4 linked regions of the Callithrix jacchus genome follow. The protein of the gene in region 4 interacts with the protein of the main gene of each other region in a pairwise test. Links are inferred from orthologs where the notes say so. Each region holds a gene or a part of one and is shown on either strand. Other genes may lie near its edges.

Region 1 (4,238 bases), on a different chromosome or scaffold from region 4:
GGGAAAGCCATAGAGGGTTTTCATGCTTGTATAACAAATAAGACTGATAACAAAACAGATAACAAAAAAGACTGCAAAAATCCCAACCTTGCACAAAGGCCATCGAACCTTGCGCAAGAAATACTTCTGCAAGGACATCTGCCCACCAACTGCTGTCCAACTTTAGCCTGGCATCACTCTTGCTATTGATCTTTGTAGCCAAGGATAATTATTTCAAAAACAATAGCGTAATCCTTATTTTTTTTTTTTGCTTTAAAATTCTTTGTCTTCCTTCACCTCCCTGAGAATGCAGTGTTCCTAAGGGAAATATCTTTTCTTTCAGAGAGTCTCTGTTTGTTCTTTAAGTTGACAACCACTAGGCAGGTTAAACAGTTAATGTTTACTGAGCACTTATTTTTTATACTTTTTGAGACAAAGTCTTGCTCTGTCACCCAGACTGTAGTGCAATGGCGCAATCTCAGCTCACCACAATCTCCACCTCCCAGGTTCAAGCGATTCTCCTGCCTCAGCCTCCTGAATAGCTGGGACTACAGGCATGTGCCACCATGTCCAGCTAATTTTTGTATTTTTAGCAGAGACGGGGTTTCACCATGTTGACCAGGCTGGTCTTGAACTCCTGACCTCAGGTGATCTGCCTGCCTTGGCCTCCCTAAGTACTGGGATTACAGGCATGAGCCACCATGCCCGGCCTTACTGAGTACTTAATATGTGCCAGAAGTTCTTCTAGGTGCATTTAATCCTTCCAGGCTCCCTATGAAGTTAAACTAGTATCATACTCATTTTAAAGATGGGAAAACTGAGGCTCTGGTGGTAAAGAGAACCCTAGTAAGTGCCAAAGCTAGGATTCAAACTCAAGCAGGCTGTCTTCAAAGCCCACACATACTGCCTCCCTTAATAGTAATGATTATTATTTTTAAATCATAACTTGCTTAGCTACAGTATTCTATAGTTTTTAAGGCACTTTCCACCCACTCTTTAATTTCTCACCACAGCAGCCTAGGGAGGGAGAAAAAGTTTACTCCCAATTTATAGAGGGGAGGGGGAAACAGGCTGTGAAAGGGGGAGCTGACTGGCCTTGTCAAGGTCACACAACGAGGTCAGTAGCAGAAGTAGGGCTGGAACTTGGAATTTTCCAAATTAGGACTTCAAATTTGGGGGGCCCTTCTCCAGTCTTGGCCAATTCCCAAGCTCCCCTAGTAACATGCCTTCTGGCTAGAGGCCTTGAGCCTCCCTCCCCAGGTCAGCTGTGCCTGGACTTCCACCCTTCAGCCGCAGGGTCCCAAGGCTGTGTCCTCCATACCACCACCCCCCACCCCCACCCTCCCCATCAGATGGGAGGGGCAGGAACTCCAGGGCTGGTGGAGTTTCCGACTAGGCAGGAAAAAGAACAAAGGAACTGAGGGGGGGTTGGAAGAGATGGCCAGGAGGGTGGCAGGAGTAGAGGGGACACTTCACCATGGAATATGAAGTCAAGAAAGGGAAGAAGGTAGGTGGGAGGTTGGGAGGGACGCAGGGAGAGGAATGTCCCCAAAGCTGGGGAAGGGGGCAGACTGGGGTGGGCGAGGGATCGGTAGTGAGGGCCCTAAGAGGGACCTTCCTTCTCATTTGGAAGTAACTTCCTTCCCACTCTTGGGCAGCCAGACCTTCAGGCTCTAAACTCCCTGTTTCTCCACTCTCAGTGGGCTCTGGCATCCCTAAAATGGACAGACAGGGACCTTCCCAGGAAACCTGGCCAGACAGACTTGCTTTGGGAGATTCTCCACACCTGCTTCCCTGCTATTTCTGGTGGCTCCCTCCTGCAGCCTCCCAGACAGACAGACAGACACCCAGCAGATCCATTCTTCTGCTCACCACAGCCCCAGACAGAAGGACCCAGCCGGGGCAATTCCGGTAGGAGGTCGCCTACCTAGGCTTGAGTCTCCCGCCTGCTTCCCTGCTCCTCCCCACCTTTATAGAAGGGCCTATGCGTAAGGCGTCAGCCAGGAGCCATTCCCCCACCCCCAGATCCTCACCCCTTCTGACTCTGAAAAGATTTCTGGTATGCTTCCCTGGGTGTCTCACCTGGTTGTCTTTGGAGTTCAGGGAGCCACTCTAATTTCAACTTCTATCTCACCCCCATTTCCACACTCCCCTCTCCCCTTCCCACCAGAAATGTGGGTCTGGGCTATTGTGAAAGGTGCCCACATGAACCACAGAGGGCTCAGAAGGGAGCCAACACATATGCGCATGTTTTCTCTTGGTTTGTTCTTTTAACAGATATTTATTGAGTGCCTATTATGCACCAAGCACTTCAGTTTTTAGAAGGCAATGAATAAATTAATGGAAAATTGCATAGGAGGGCTGGATGCAGTGGTTCACACCTGTAATCCCAGCACTTTGGGAGGCCCAGGCAGGCAGATCACCTGAAGTCAGGGTTTGAGACCAGCCTGGCCCACATGGTGAAACCCTGTCTCTACTAAAAATACAAAAATTAGCTGGCTGTGGTGGCACATACCTGTAATCCCAGCGACTAGGGAGGTTAAGGCAGGAGAATCACTTGAATCCAGGAGGCAGAGGTTGCAGTGACCTGAGATCGTGTCACTGCACTCCAGCCTGGGTGACAGAATGAGACTCTGTCTCGAAATAAATAAATAAATAAAAATTTACAGAAAGTCCTATACTCAGTGCTGAAGGACAGAATATTAGGGTACCCAGCCTTAGACTGGTCAGTTTGAGTTGAGAGCTGATGGGTGGAAGGAAAGGGGGTAGGGAAGAGTGTTTGGGGCAGAGGAACAGCATATGCAAAAGCCCCACAGTGGGAAGGAACATAGCACGCTGGAGGGACTGAAGGAGGACTGTAGTGGGGGCCCGGGGGACAAGAGTGAGACAAATGGGACTGGACAGGTGGGCAGAGCTGAGCCATTCAGGGCCACCAACAAAAATACCAACTCCACCCGATCCCCACCACACACACATATGCAAGACAAAGTCCCAGCTCCATAGCTGGCATTGAAGGCCTCTATATATTCATCTCATAATCTAGCCACGCAGACTGACTGCACATGGCTTCTCCAGGCTCACCCTCAACCAGCCTTTGAGGCATCCAGATTTCTGCATATGCCATGCCCTCTGCTTGGCATGTTCTCTCCCAAATAGTTTCCTCTCATTCCTCAGTTTCTACATACCCCATCCAGGTTCTATGATATTGGTTCTACTCTAAGTTAAGCACCCATTAGAATCACCTGAGGGCTTGTTAAAATACAGATCACTGGGTTTTACCCCCAGTTTCTGGGCCAATAGGTCTGGGGTGGGGTTCAAGGAATTGCATTTTTGGCCAGGCACAGTGGCTCATGCCTGTAATCACAACAGTTTGGGAGGCTGAGGCAGGAGGATTGCATGAGCCTAGGAGTTCAAGACCAGACTGGGCAACAGAATGAGACCTCATCTCTTAAAAATATATATATTAGCTAGGTGTGGTGGTGGTGCATGTCTGTGGTCCCAGCTACTGTGAGGCAGAGGGGGGAGGATCGCCTGAGCCAGAAAGAATTTGCAATTCTAACAGCCCCACAGGTTATGCTGATGGTTGTGGGGCTACACTTTGAGAACCACCAGTTTAGATCCTGGCTACTCAAAGTGTGGCGCACAGACCAGTAACATCAGCAACAAATGGGAGCTCGGGAGAAATGCAGAGTCTCAGGCCCCAACCCAATCCTGCTGAATCAAAACTGGAGGGCACATAAAGTTGGAAACTTACTAGTCTAGGTCATTTCTCACAAGCCCTGGAGGCAAGGATGGGGTCCAGGTCTCCACTGAATCCTCAGCACCCAGCACAGGGTCCAGCCATACAGGTGTGAATAAATGTTTACTGAATGAATAAGTAAATGAACAGATGTATGTGTGGACTTGTGTTCTGTTTACCCGAACAAGAATGTGAGCTCCTTGTGGGTGGGGGCGGGGAGGGGAGGGAGGGTTGTCTTACCTTACTCACACCTGACTAGTTACAAGAATTAAGTAATCACACCACACATTGACTCAGCGGTTTTCAGTTGAGCTGCCTTTTGAAATTCCCTAAGGAGGCTTTAAAAAACTTAACAGATTTAAGATTAAGTCCATTAAACCCAATGGCTCACACCTGTAATCCCAGCACTTTGGGAGGCCAAGGTAGGAGAATCATTTGAGCTCAGGAGTTCAAGACCAGCCTGGGCAACACACCAAGACCTCATCTCTACTAAAAATTTTAAAAATTAGCAGGACATGGT
Region 2 (4,162 bases), on a different chromosome or scaffold from region 4:
AAAACGTTTTAAATGTCATGTTCTACGACATTTTAGCTCCTTATTTGATACTAATTTTTAAACAAGACTTAGTGGCTAATCCAGTAACTACCTTAACGTAGAAAAAACAGGAAAGAGTAAGTGATAATTGAATGCAACTTCCACAATTGTAATGCGGAGATATGAAAATATACTGCAAATACTAATGCGGGTTTCATTTTTTCCGTGGTTGGGGAGGATTTACACTGTAAATTGAAATGCTAAACTTCAGCTAAATGGGGGGGGGAAAAAAACCTTCCTCATTCAAATTCACGTGCCCTCTGGATTATATCCACTGACTCCGGGCGCGGTGGCTCAAGCCTGTAATCCCAGCACTTTGGGAGGCCGAGGCGGGTGGATCACGAGCTCAAGAGATCGAGACCATCCTGGTCAACATGGTGAAACCCTGTCTCTACTAAAAATACAAAAAAATTAGCTGGGCATGGTGGCGCGTGCCTGTAATCCCAGCTACTCAGGAGGCTGAGGCAGGAGAATTGCCGGAACCCAGGAGGGGGAGGTTGAGGTGAGCCGAGATCGCGCCACTGCACTCCAGCCTGGGTAACAAGAGCGAAACTCCGTCTCAAAAAAAAAAAAAAAAAGAAAAAAAAGAATATCTGCTCGGAGGCCGGGCGCGGTGGCTCACGCCTATAATTCCAGCAGTTTGGGAGGCGGGTGGATCACCTGAGGTCCGGAGTTTGAGTACCAGCCTGACCAACATGAAGAAATCTCGTCTCTACGAAAAGAAACAAAATTAGTGGGGCATGCTGGCGCACATCTGTAATCCCAGCTACTCGGGAAGCTGAGGCAAAGGAATCGCTTGAACCTAGGAGGTGAAAACTGCGGTGAGGTGAGATCGTGCCATTGCACTGCAGCCTGGGCAAGAAGAGCCAAACTCTGTCTCGGGAAAAAATAAAAAGACCATCGGCCCGCTTCGGGGCCTCGGTCCCCTTTAAGGGAGGAAAAAAAAAAAAAAAGAGTATCTGCTCTAAATTGCCTAGTAAAATAATGAATCCACAGAAGGTAGAGCCCCCCTTCTCAAGGTGGAAGATGGGTATTAAAAGTCAGTCACCGTCTAGCACGGTGGCTCACGCCTGTAATCCCACCACTTTAGGAAACCGAGGAGGGTGGATCGCTTGAGGACAGGAGTTCGAGACCACACTGGGCAACATGAAAACCCGTCTCTATCAAAAATACAAAATAAAAACAACAACAATAAAACCGAAAAACAAAACAAAAAAACTTTAGCCTGGCGTCGCAGCCCGAGTTGGTAATCCCATCTACTTGGGAGGCTGACGTCGGAGGCTTGCGGTGGGGGAGGGGGGGTGCCAGAGGTTGCAGTGAGCCGAGATAGCGCCACTGGCACTCCTGCCTGGGTGACGGAGTGAGACTCCGTCTCAAAAATTTAAACAAAGGAAGTCACTCATTAACAAAAATACTCCCAAAGCCCCCTTAAATAGCCCATAAACTTAAAATATGCAGTACTTTGGTTTTGCGTTTACGGCTCTAAAAGGAATTCTAATGCAAGTCTAAAACTCCCTTGAACAAAAATCAAAAACTTGTAGACATCGTATTTAAGGTAACTAGCACAAATTTTCATAGCAATGAAAAGGAATTTTCAAGTGTTCCTCCTTTCCAAAATTATTTTACTTCCTTTTTAGCTGTTAGACCTCCACCTTATTATACGTTAATTGATGCGCTACGAAAATGTAGAGCTGCCTCCCACTGGAAGCCAATCTAACCTGAGCCAAAACGTCATCGAAAGCCAATTAAAAATAAACTCAACTTCCAGATGATTGTTAAACACTGCAACTAATCAAACTAATCAATTGCTGCATTTAAAAAATGTCGAGGCCGTGGGACTTACAAATGTAAACGCCGTAACACAACATTCCGCTCATTTTTATTCACTTTTTACAAGCAACTGCACAGCGAGGGCGCACTCACATCACGGTAGGATCCTGGCAGTGCGCCGAAGCACAGCAAAGTGATGCCTCTAGGCAACACAAAGCAGAGAAAAACGCTCATCCCACTGAACCTTTTTTTTTTGTCCCCACCCACCACTCTGAACCGGAGGGCCCTGGCAACGTTGCGGTCGTCACAGAAGGGGGCGCTGCGCCTGCACACAGAGCCGAGACGCCGGTGGCCATGATGGCGCCACCATTTTGCAACGGCCATTTTACAACGCAGTTCTCCCGCCCGGGCCGCCAAACCCACCCCCCTTTCCGCAGCTCCGAGTCTCCCCCGAACGCGGCCACCGCGGGGCTCCAGGCAACACCGAACCGCCAGTCGTGGCCGCACAAGCGGCCGGGCGCCCCGCAGGACCGCCCGAAACGGCCGCTGCCCCCCCCGCCCCCGCTGCCACATCACTTCCCCTCAGCGCCGCCATGGCGCTCCCGTCGCCTCCCTACAATAGGCTGCTCTCTCCGCGCCCTCTTCCTCAGAAAAATAACACTCGACGAAGGTGTGCCACGCGCCAAACGCTCGCTCTCCCGCTCTAACGCCTGCGTAGCGCTCTCGCTTCACAAAGCGCTTTCTCACAGTGACGCATTGGAATTACCATCCGCAATGCCCTTTCCCTGCACAAAGCACAGTCCACCGCCTTCTCAGGGCGCAGCCCGCGCCGCCCCCAGCCCCCAAACCTCAACCACCCCCAGCCCGCCTTTATCTCCTGCGTCCTTAGGTGCCATTTTCCGAAAGACTCCCACTTACCCTCCTGGAATTTAGGCTTCGGGTCCTGCTTCGGCGCCATTTATAAGTGATTCGCCGCCTCCTCCTTCTCCCACCACCCCCGACTACCGCCCCCTACTCTCTACCCCACCCAACTTCACGTCAGACGTGCCGTCAGGCACCGCCAGCTCTACATCCTGGACCGGATTTGCCAGCGCCGGCTGACCTCACAGCACCGCGACCCGCGCAGCCGCTGCCCCAGCCAATTGCAGCCCGCTGCGCACGCGCCCCTGCGCCCGCGCCGCCCCGGGGCACGCCGGGACTGGTAGTTCCGAGTCGCTGGAGGAGCAGCCGGGTGGGGGAGGGGCCGGCCACCCTCACCCCGACCCCGGCCCGTTTCCATCCCCCACCCTCCACTCCCCATCCCCCCGCCTGCTGCGGGTCGGTAAAGCGGAGATTTGATTTCGTTGGAGGTTAAGGTGGAGCTGGCGATGGGGGAGACTGGGGGCGGTGAGCCATTAGTGATGAAAGAATGGCAAAGGTCCCTCGCGCAGATAAGCCCCCATTGATGTGGAAGTATCCGGACAGAATAGGACTGCCTCTGAAACCTCCATTCAAAAGCATTCCGCTAGTTTTTGCATAGAAAAGCTTTAGGGTCAGCAATCTGGCCTCAAGGAGGTGGGAAGCGGAGTCCGCTTCTGGAACCAGCTTCATTGTTTAGCAAGCCCACTGCCGAGTCTGTTTGGTGGGATTGATAGCCATTGTTGGCTCCCGGGTCTACCTCCTCTTTGCCAGCCCCGGCCCTGCGGAAATGAGGAAGATGACGTAGGAAACACTAGGCAGGCTTTGACTGAGATGATGGAGCTCTGCTTTCTGAAAACGCTAGTGTGAATACACCAACGTCTGCATTCCATGCCTGCCCCGTTCGTGCTTTTTTGTCATCTAATTTTTTGAGCCGTAATTGAATGTACACACTCTAAACACACGGATTTCTTCAACATTATACATTTTTCTTTTCTTTTCTTTCTTTTTTTTTTTTTCAATAGAGATGGGGTTTCATCATGTGGGTCAGGATGGTCTCTATCTCCTGACGTTGTTATCCGCCCGCCTCAGCCTCCCAAAGTGCTGGGATTACAGGCGTGAGCCACCGCGCCCGTCCCTTCTTTCTTCTTTTTTTTTTTTAGCTCAAGATGGAGTGCAGTAGTGCTTCAGCCTGGGTGACACTGCAACCTCCTCTTCCCAGGTTCAACAGATTCTCCTGCCTCATCCTCCTGAGTAGCTGGGCTTACAGACAGTCACGTACCACTATGCCCAGCTAATTTTTGTATTTTTAGTAGAGACCGGGTTTCACCATGTTGACCAGGCTGGTGTAGAACTCGTGACCTCGTGATCCACCCACCTGGGCCTCTCAAAGTGCTGGGACTACAGGCATGAGCCACCCTGGCCTAAACAGACAGATTTCTTTATGTCGTTCCCT
Region 3 (4,218 bases), on a different chromosome or scaffold from region 4:
GCTACTCAGGGGTGAGGCAAGAGAATTGCCTTAGCCTGGGAGATAGAGGCTGCAGTGAGCCATGATCACACCACTACACTCCAGCCTGGGAGACAGAGCAAGACCCTGTCTCAAAAAAAAAAAAGGAAAAAAGAAAACAAAAGTTGAACAAGGTTAAGGAACGTGCCTAAAGCCATATACCACCTGCAAGAGCTGGGATTCAAACCGAAGCCATGAGCTTCCTTGGACTTACAATGTGCCAGCCACTCCACCAGCCACTCGCTACACTTGATTTAGCCTCAGTTAGCCTCAGAACAACACATGAGAAAAGGGGGGAAGAGAAACGTTAAGCAGTGTGTTTCAGGTCACACAGCTAGCAAGGGGCAAAGGCCAAATCCACCCCCAAGCCTAGGATTGCAGAGCTGCCCATAACCACTGCCATCATCACCAGCCTTAAAAGCCCCTATCCCTTCAACAGTGTCTGAACTGAGAACATGTGACCATTCTAACTGTCCAAGATGGTGGGGATATAGGCGTCCTCACCCCTGCTGGACTGTGACCCGTTAAGGCGGGGGCGGAATTTTCCATGCATCAGTTGCCCTCCTGGTGCTAGTGCTATGCTTCTTGGTGGTGTCCAGCGAAGCCCTGTTAAATTCATGGGCTTGGCTATAATGGGCCAGGAGTCTCCTCTTTCAGCTTGGGGTGTTGGCTTGGATGTCCTTAAAGGGCTCCCCATCCTAGTTCAGTCACTCTCCAGTGTCCTATCATTTCTCTGGTCAAGCCCATGTGACCACAGCCTTCTCTTCACAGGCCTAATCCTACCACCACTCCCACCCACTCTTTTGGCAGTCATGCCCTGCACCTGAGACTCACCTGCTCACTCATGAAGGGGACAGCCAGGCATCCTGCTCGCCAGTCATCTGGCCAAAGCAGCCACTTAGAAACAATATGCAATTGGCCAGGCCCGGTGGCTCATGCCTGTAATCTCAACTTTGTGAAGCTGAGGTCGGAGTTCAAGACCAGCCTGGCCAACATGGTGAAATACCATCTCTACTACAAATACAAAAATTAGCTGGGTGTGGTGGTGCACACCTGTAGTCCCAGATACTCAGGAGGCTAAGGTAGACATGCTTGAACTAAGGAAGCAGAGGTTGTACTGAGTTGAGTGTGCCACTGCACTCGAGCCTGGGTAACACAGCAAGACTCCGTCTCAAAAAAAAAAAAAATCTAGTAACTGTTAGAACCTGGGTGAAAAGAGATAACATGTATGAACTGGCTATTCATCATCCTGAAGAAGTAAATAAAAGCCCAGCCTTCCACAGGTAGATTTAAACCAAGACTTCCTTCATTCAGGAGAGGTGTGAGAAGAACACTGATCTGGAGTCAGAAGACCTGGGCGGGGCTGTCCCTGGAGCTCCTGGAGCAGGATGACTTTACACAATTATTCAACTCTTGAAACCGCCATTTCCTCCTCCATACAGGTAGAGGTGGCCTTCCTGACCATCAACCTCCCAGGGAAGCTGGGCAAACCAAGTGAGATCAGACAGGTATAAACTCTGCAAACCAGGGAGCCCAAGGTTCCCAGCCAATACTCAGCAGAGCTGATTCAGAGACCTGATGCAGGCCGTCTGTCTCCAGTTACTTCCATTATGTTTGCTCCGCTTTCCCCACCTCCAGAGGTGATGGGGCCAGGATAGCCACACAGCCAAAGTCAAAGGGCAGGGCTCCGCACAAAGATGATGCCTCTCTGGAAAAATCAAACCGGCAGGAAAGGCCCTCGACCAGCCCAGAAGAGGGCCTGAGACTGAGGGTCAAGGAGTTTCATTGACCCAGGACTATATTGCTATATGTCCATTGACCCAGGAATATTGCTATATGCCGAGCCTTCCGGGAGAGGTCAATGTCTACGGGAACGTTACTTGCTTTTCTTGGACTTGGCTTGAGCCCAAGGTCAATCTGTGATGCCCAACTCCCAAACGTGAGGCACCCACCACCAAAACAGCAGCTCTCACTACTGGTAGTTCATCAAGCAGGGTAGGATCGGTCGAAGTCCATAGTGCCCATGTGCAGTGGCTGAAAACCTAGACTCCTTGTCCTCACTTAGCTCATGCACAAATGCCAGCCTGCATCTGCTTCCGATTCTACCGAAGGGAACTGCAGAGTAACCTTGAGGCTGCCCTCCCCACCTCCTATGGGAAATGAGCTTGTTCATGATCTCCAGCCTCCAGCTTCCGCTGGGGGCTTGCATCTATCTACTCAGTACCCGGTGGAGGAAGCCGGCGGGGGCGGGGGGGGGGGTGCCCTAGAAGGACAACCCTTTGCCCCTATTGTGTAAGATGCTTTCAGGCCCAACAGACCACTGATTCCCTTTTCTTGATAGTAAACTGTCAGTGGCAAACAGTATTATCTGTTCTTCCTTTCAACACCCGCCCTCCCCTAAACCGAAGCAGTGCCCTGAAGACGGTAGCTCTGCAGCCTCCTCCCACGGAGGCACCCACCGAGGGGCTCGCCCGGCTCTGGGCACCTCTCCTTCACCTCTGGGGGCTTTGGTTGGCGCAGCACAACCGCCGAGGTAACGATCCCGAATGCTCCAGGAGGCTAAGCAGGACCACGGGGCTGAGACTCCGAGATGCTCGGGCGAGGCCCGGGGCGGGGCAGCCCGCGGGCGCCGGCCGCCGGGCTCTGGAGCTGTGCACGGACCTCCACCCGCCCCGTCCCTGCCCGGCTTTCTCGCCCAAATGGCCGGTGGCGCAACCGCCGCCCTCAAGAGGCGGCTGGGAGGAGCCGGCGGAAGGCGGGCGGGGACCGCCCTGCTTGTGCTGCATCGCAAGGCGCATCCCGGCCGCTGGCGGGCGGGGTCCTGGGCGGCGGCGCGGGAGGCCGTGCCGGGAATTGGGGACGGCCTCGGCGGGTGGGGACCGCAGGGCCGAGCTGGGTAGGCCGGGTGGCCTGTGCCGGCGCCGCGCGAGTCCTCTCTTACCGGCAGATCTGGATGGCGGACGGCGTCTCGACGTCTGGGCCCGACATGCTGGCGGCTGCGGCGGCGGCGGATGGCTGCAGGAGGGCGCAGGTGTCTGGCAGGCCCGGCGCGGAATGAATGAGCCGGGGCGGCGCCATAGAGGGGGAGGGCAGAGGCGGAGCCATGGCGCCGGCGAGGCGGAGCCTGCGCGCCGGGGGCGAATCTAACGCGGCCTCCCCGCGCAGGCCCCGCCCCCGCGCAGGCCCCGCCCCGCTTCCCGTGCCCCGGGCCGCCAAGGCCGCCGCGGGCTCGCGCGTGTGTCCGGTTCTGACGCCGTGAGGGCCGCGGCGGGCGCCGCTTCCAGAAGGATCTGTGGCGGTTGGGCCGCGCCGGCACGGGAAAGGCCCGCGAGCCGTGGAGGCCGCGTCCGACCCGGTGACAGTCCGGAGAGAAGCGGCCGAGTGGCGTAGGCGGAGCGGACGTAGGCCTCGCTCTCCGCGCGGCGGTAAATATTTGTGCGGGGGCGTTCCCGGCCGCCCGCGCCGCCGATTCGCTGCCGCGCCCGGTGCCTGGGCGACCGGATGAGGTCACGGCGGAAGGTCCGGCCGGGGCGCCTGACTGTCTGGCCCGAATCCCACCCCGCCCCCACCCCACCCGGGCCCCGGTCGCCCGCATCCGCGGCTCTCTGCGATCCGCCCTAAGAGAGAATGGAAGTCTGTTTCCTGGAAAGGAGCATTGGTGGCGGCTGCCGGGAAGCACACGGGCGCGCACACGGGGAATGGAACGGGGTTTTGCTGCAGCGGCACAAAGCGTCACGAGGTGGGAAGGAGGAAAGGCCCGCGCCTGTTCACACTGCCGGATGCGGCTTTTCCCGGCAGCGCTGAGCGCCAGCCTGGAGGTGCACGTGTTGCAGCGATGAACCCTGAAACATGCAGTGTTTTACAGCACACGGATGTGACCCGGAACGGAGTCCAGGCTACTGGGGGTCACCAAAAAAAAAAAATAAATCCACCAAAAAAACATCCTAGAGGGGAGAAGCGGCCGCACCCACGTGCTGGAATGTCAGCTTTTTGCTTCCTAGCCAGTTTGACCTTTTCCGAATTTCCACAGTACACATAGATTTGTACTCACATCTTTAAATGAAAACCCACACAACTCCAGCTCCCCAGTGCAATTTGAACAAGCCATTTTACACTCAGCTAGGTAGCTCTAAAGGAACTGTACCTCATCCTGGTCACCGCTACCGGACCGTGAAGGCAGCCCACAACATGGTCTATAAC
Region 4 (3,559 bases):
TTCTGGCTGCCCAGGCACCCCAACCCATCACCATCAAGAACCTGGTCTCTCCCCTCAGCCATTCACCTGTGACCCCCTCAGTCAACCCCTGCTGGGAGTCCTCAACCAACCACAGAACACTCAGGGGGTGAGTGCCCCTCCAGAGGCTGCCCCCGCCCTCTCTGGCACCAGGTGAATCCAGCGCCTCTTTGAGCCTGCAGGATGCATCCCCCTCTCGGGCTGCTGCTTCCACTCCCCTCAGCCCCAGTCGCCTGCAGCAGCCCCCAGGCCTGGTGTGCAGATGGGATGAGGGCACGCAGATCCTACCTGTTCCTCAGGTACTCACCCAGCCACTGCCCTGCCATGCCGAGCCCTTGGCCCAGCAGCCTCTTCTCTGAGAGCATCTCTGCACCACCCCCAGCCTGGTGTCTCCCCACAGGTGGGGGTGGCGGCAGCCCTGGGATGTCATCCATCCCTGTAAGCGATACTGCGGGCAGTCAGCAGACAGGCCGGGAGGTGGCCCAGCCTGGCTCCTCCCTGGCCAGAGAGGCCGCCCAGCCCAGCCTGTGCTTCCCGTCCCGCCCGCTCTGCCTCAGCCTGGCCCTAGCTGCCCCCCAGATCTGCGCCTTCCGTCCCCACCTGCTCCCTGCTGTCTGGACCTGGGTAGCTCAAATGCCAGAGTGTCTTGGGCTGGAACTGACACTTTTCTCTCCCTGCCCGGCAGGTCCACCTCGACACAAACTGGCAGCTCCCTGCGTGACAGCCCTTGCCACACTTGTGGACCCTCTGCTGTCTATTCCCCTCCCATCAAGAGAAAGCTGTGGATCTCAGGGTCTAGAGTGCTGGGGTCGGCGACAAACCTGCTCTTTCAGACACTCTTCCTACACACAGGTGTCACACATGCTTCATAACCATAACCTTCATTTTCAGAGACTCAGTGGCACCTTCATGTGCTTCAAAGCCATTCCCTGGGACCCAGCGGAGGGATCCTGTGCCCCCACCCTCCCCCGCAATCTGGCCCTTCCCAGAGCACCACCGCCGGCTCACACTCCCTGAGCCCCTCCGGGCAGCCGCTGCCAGGGCCACTCAAGGTGCTACTTACATGGGGTGGGCAGGGGGCCAGGGAGAGATGGAGATGGGCAGGGCGGGGGCCCCACTGGCGAGGGGCCCTCGGCTTCTGGGGTCCCTGAGCCCCTCCTCACAGAGTTCAGGATGTCAGAGATCCTGGGGGCTGGGGCGGAACGGATCAGACGTAAACACAAGGCAGGCACGGGGGGCACACAGGAGAGAAACCCATGGGCAGACAGCCAAGCCAGAGAGTGGTGGGCACAGAGAGACAGAGGGATGGGGCACAAGGGGACAGAGGGGAGGGAGGGAGGATAGAGGGTGTGGGGGGAAGAAGTTGGACATGGGCCGATAGAGGGGATGTGGGGTACAGAGGGGAGCTTGGGAGACAGAGGGGAGCTTGGGGAACAGAGAGGGAAATGGGAAATGGAGGAGACTTGGGGGACAGAGGGGAATGTGGGGGGACAGAGTGGGATATACAGGGCAGAGTGGGGTGTGAGTGACAGAAGGGGTGAGGAGACCAAGAGTGATGTGGGGACAGAGGGGCATGTAGGGGATAGAGGGGGATGTGGGGGACAGGGGAGGGTGTGGGGGACAGGAGGGAGTATGGGGAGGAAAACAGAAACTCGAGGGAAAGAGGGGAATTTGGGGAACAGAGGAGGACCTGGAGGACAGAGGGGATGTCAGGACAGAGGGGGTACTTAGGGGGACAAAGAGGGATATGGGGGTAGAGGGGTTGTAGTAGGGACCAAGGGGACAAGGGGGGACAGAGGAGACATGGGGACAGAGGGTGCTGCTGGCAACAGCATGGTGCATGGGGAGGAGGCTGCAGGAGTGGAGGCAGATGCTCCCGCTCTTGGGTGGGGTGGGCTGAAGCTGCTGTGGACAGAGGGCACCCTGCAGGGAGAGGCCGCTGGTCAGCAAAAGCTGCCAGGTAAGTGGTCCTTGAGGAGCGCTGGGCGGAGTCACAGGGAGAGATGGGGGTTGCTGGTGGCACAGAGGAGGCCAGGCTGGGCCCTGTGAGGACAGCCCAGGTCAGCGGAGGCCAAGCCTATGATTCTCCATGATAGCCTGTTGGCGAGCTCCAGGGACCCTGGCCAGGGTTCCAGTTCTGGCACCTTCCTCAGCCTCTTAGACTGACGGAGGGCGCTCAGGGGTTGGGGTCATATCAGGAAACAGGGTGGCCCTGAGTGCAGGCTCCTGGGTACCATGGGCAGGGCCCCTGGGTGGGTGTACAGTCTGTGGGGGGGACAGTGGTCAGCAGAGAGGGCCTAGGGGGTTAGGGGGCCTCAGAGGGGCCAGGGCTGCCCCAGGCTGGGACAGACCCTTTTGGAAGGGTCCTGGGGCTGGACAGCCAGCGGGGAGTGGCAGTGGGAACAGGAGCCGTGGAGGGGGCTGGGCCCTGAGGGAGAAGCCAGGAGCGGCCCTGCTGGTTAGCGTGGTAGCCCACGGAAGCCCCGCCAGGGCAGGACGCCAGGCTGCGGCACCAGAGCAGGGTAGCTGGGCCGTGCATGCAGGTGGGAAGCTGCTGAGCGCCGGCCATTCGCAGGGAGCTGTCCGCAGCAGAGGCAGCAGGCCTGGGGGCCGCTACTTACATGGGGTGGGCAGGGGGCCTAGGAGAGCTGGAGACAGGCAGGGCGGGGGCCCCGCTGAGAGAGGGCCCTCGGCTTCTGGGGTTCCTGAGCCCCTTCTCACAGAGTTCAGGATGTCAGAGATCCTGGGGGCTGGGGTGGAACAGACAAGACGTGAACATGAGGCAGACAGACATACGAGGTGGCAACAAGGTGGAGGAGGGCAGTGGAAGGGTCCCGTGTCCTAGACCCCTTGGGCCCTGGGGTCAGGCCCTGAATCAGAGCTGCCTCAACAGCAAGAAACTCCCCTGAGCTGAGGTGGAGTGAGGCCTGGGCCTCCGGGACCTCCCATCCTGCCCAGCAGACTTGGGCAGCAAAGTGCTCCAGGACCCACGTCACAGAGGTGGGGCTCGCTGGGCTGAGGCCGCCCTGGGAAGCCCCACTGAGGGTTGTGGGGCCATGAGGCAGGAGCCAGGGTCCGAGCTTAGCCTGTCCTTGGCTCTGGAGTGGCCCCTCTAGGTGGTTGCCAGCCCTCCAACCTGACCCCCACAGCAGCAGGGCCCAGGCTACTTACATTGGCCTGGCAGGGGGCTAAAGGGAGCCGGAGATGGGCAGGGCAGGGGCCCTTCAGCTTCTGGGGCTCCTGAGCCCCTCCTCACTGAGCTCAGGATGTCAGGGACTCTGGGGGCTGAGGCAGAACAGGTGAGGCAGGCAGGTGGGCAGGGGCGCCCGCAGGAAAAGAAGGCGACTGGAGAAGGACAGGGGGAGGCCAGGAGGGAGGGCGGGGTGACAGCTGGATACCTGGGATGGCCACCCTGTGGGGATCCTGGGCCTGCAATGGCCACAGCAGGTATGTGAGGGCTGAGGGAGCCAATACGGGGCAGTGCCGAGCCAGAGCCAGCAGAGGACAGAGCAGCGCAGGTCAGTGCAGGCTGGCACGGAGT

The links. The genes of interacting proteins can lie anywhere in the genome.
Region 1: the proteins of CAMK2B (region 4) and CCM2L interact in binary tests that used the Homo sapiens proteins (3 or more experiments, as listed by UniProt). The two-hybrid records come from large-scale screens. The link is inferred for Callithrix jacchus from reciprocal best matches to the Homo sapiens genes CAMK2B and CCM2L.
Region 2: the proteins of CAMK2B (region 4) and MORF4L1 interact in binary tests that used the Homo sapiens proteins (3 or more experiments, as listed by UniProt). The two-hybrid records come from large-scale screens. The link is inferred for Callithrix jacchus from reciprocal best matches to the Homo sapiens genes CAMK2B and MORF4L1.
Region 3: the proteins of CAMK2B (region 4) and ACOT7 interact in binary tests that used the Homo sapiens proteins (3 or more experiments, as listed by UniProt). The two-hybrid records come from large-scale screens. The link is inferred for Callithrix jacchus from reciprocal best matches to the Homo sapiens genes CAMK2B and ACOT7.

What each region holds. Positions count from the first base shown.
Region 1 is NC_133506.1:7,189,581-7,193,818, reverse strand, and holds the start of CCM2L (cerebral cavernous malformations 2 protein-like), read left to right. Parts: upstream 1-1,409; 5' UTR 1,410-1,456; coding exon 1,457-1,486; intron 1,487-4,238.
Region 2 is NC_133507.1:29,202,956-29,207,117, forward strand, and holds the start of MORF4L1 (mortality factor 4-like protein 1), read right to left. Parts: upstream 2,830-4,162; 5' UTR 2,768-2,829; coding exon 2,728-2,767; intron 2,008-2,727; exon of another isoform or gene 1,917-2,007; coding exon of another isoform or gene 1,883-1,916; intron 1-1,882. UniProt on the Homo sapiens protein: Component of the NuA4 histone acetyltransferase (HAT) complex which is involved in transcriptional activation of select genes principally by acetylation of nucleosomal histones H4 and H2A.
Region 3 is NC_133508.1:44,282,561-44,286,778, forward strand, and holds the start of ACOT7 (cytosolic acyl coenzyme A thioester hydrolase), read right to left. Parts: upstream 2,830-4,218; 5' UTR 2,817-2,829; coding exon 2,515-2,816; intron 1-2,514. UniProt on the Homo sapiens protein: Catalyzes the hydrolysis of acyl-CoAs into free fatty acids and coenzyme A (CoASH), regulating their respective intracellular levels.
Region 4 is NC_133512.1:12,305,718-12,309,276, forward strand, and holds part of CAMK2B (calcium/calmodulin-dependent protein kinase type II subunit beta), read right to left. Parts: intron 3,304-3,559; coding exon 3,190-3,303; intron 2,769-3,189; coding exon 2,640-2,768; intron 1,211-2,639; coding exon 1,082-1,210; intron 1-1,081. UniProt on the Homo sapiens protein: Calcium/calmodulin-dependent protein kinase that functions autonomously after Ca(2+)/calmodulin-binding and autophosphorylation, and is involved in dendritic spine and synapse formation, neuronal plasticity and regulation of sarcoplasmic reticulum Ca(2+) transport in skeletal muscle.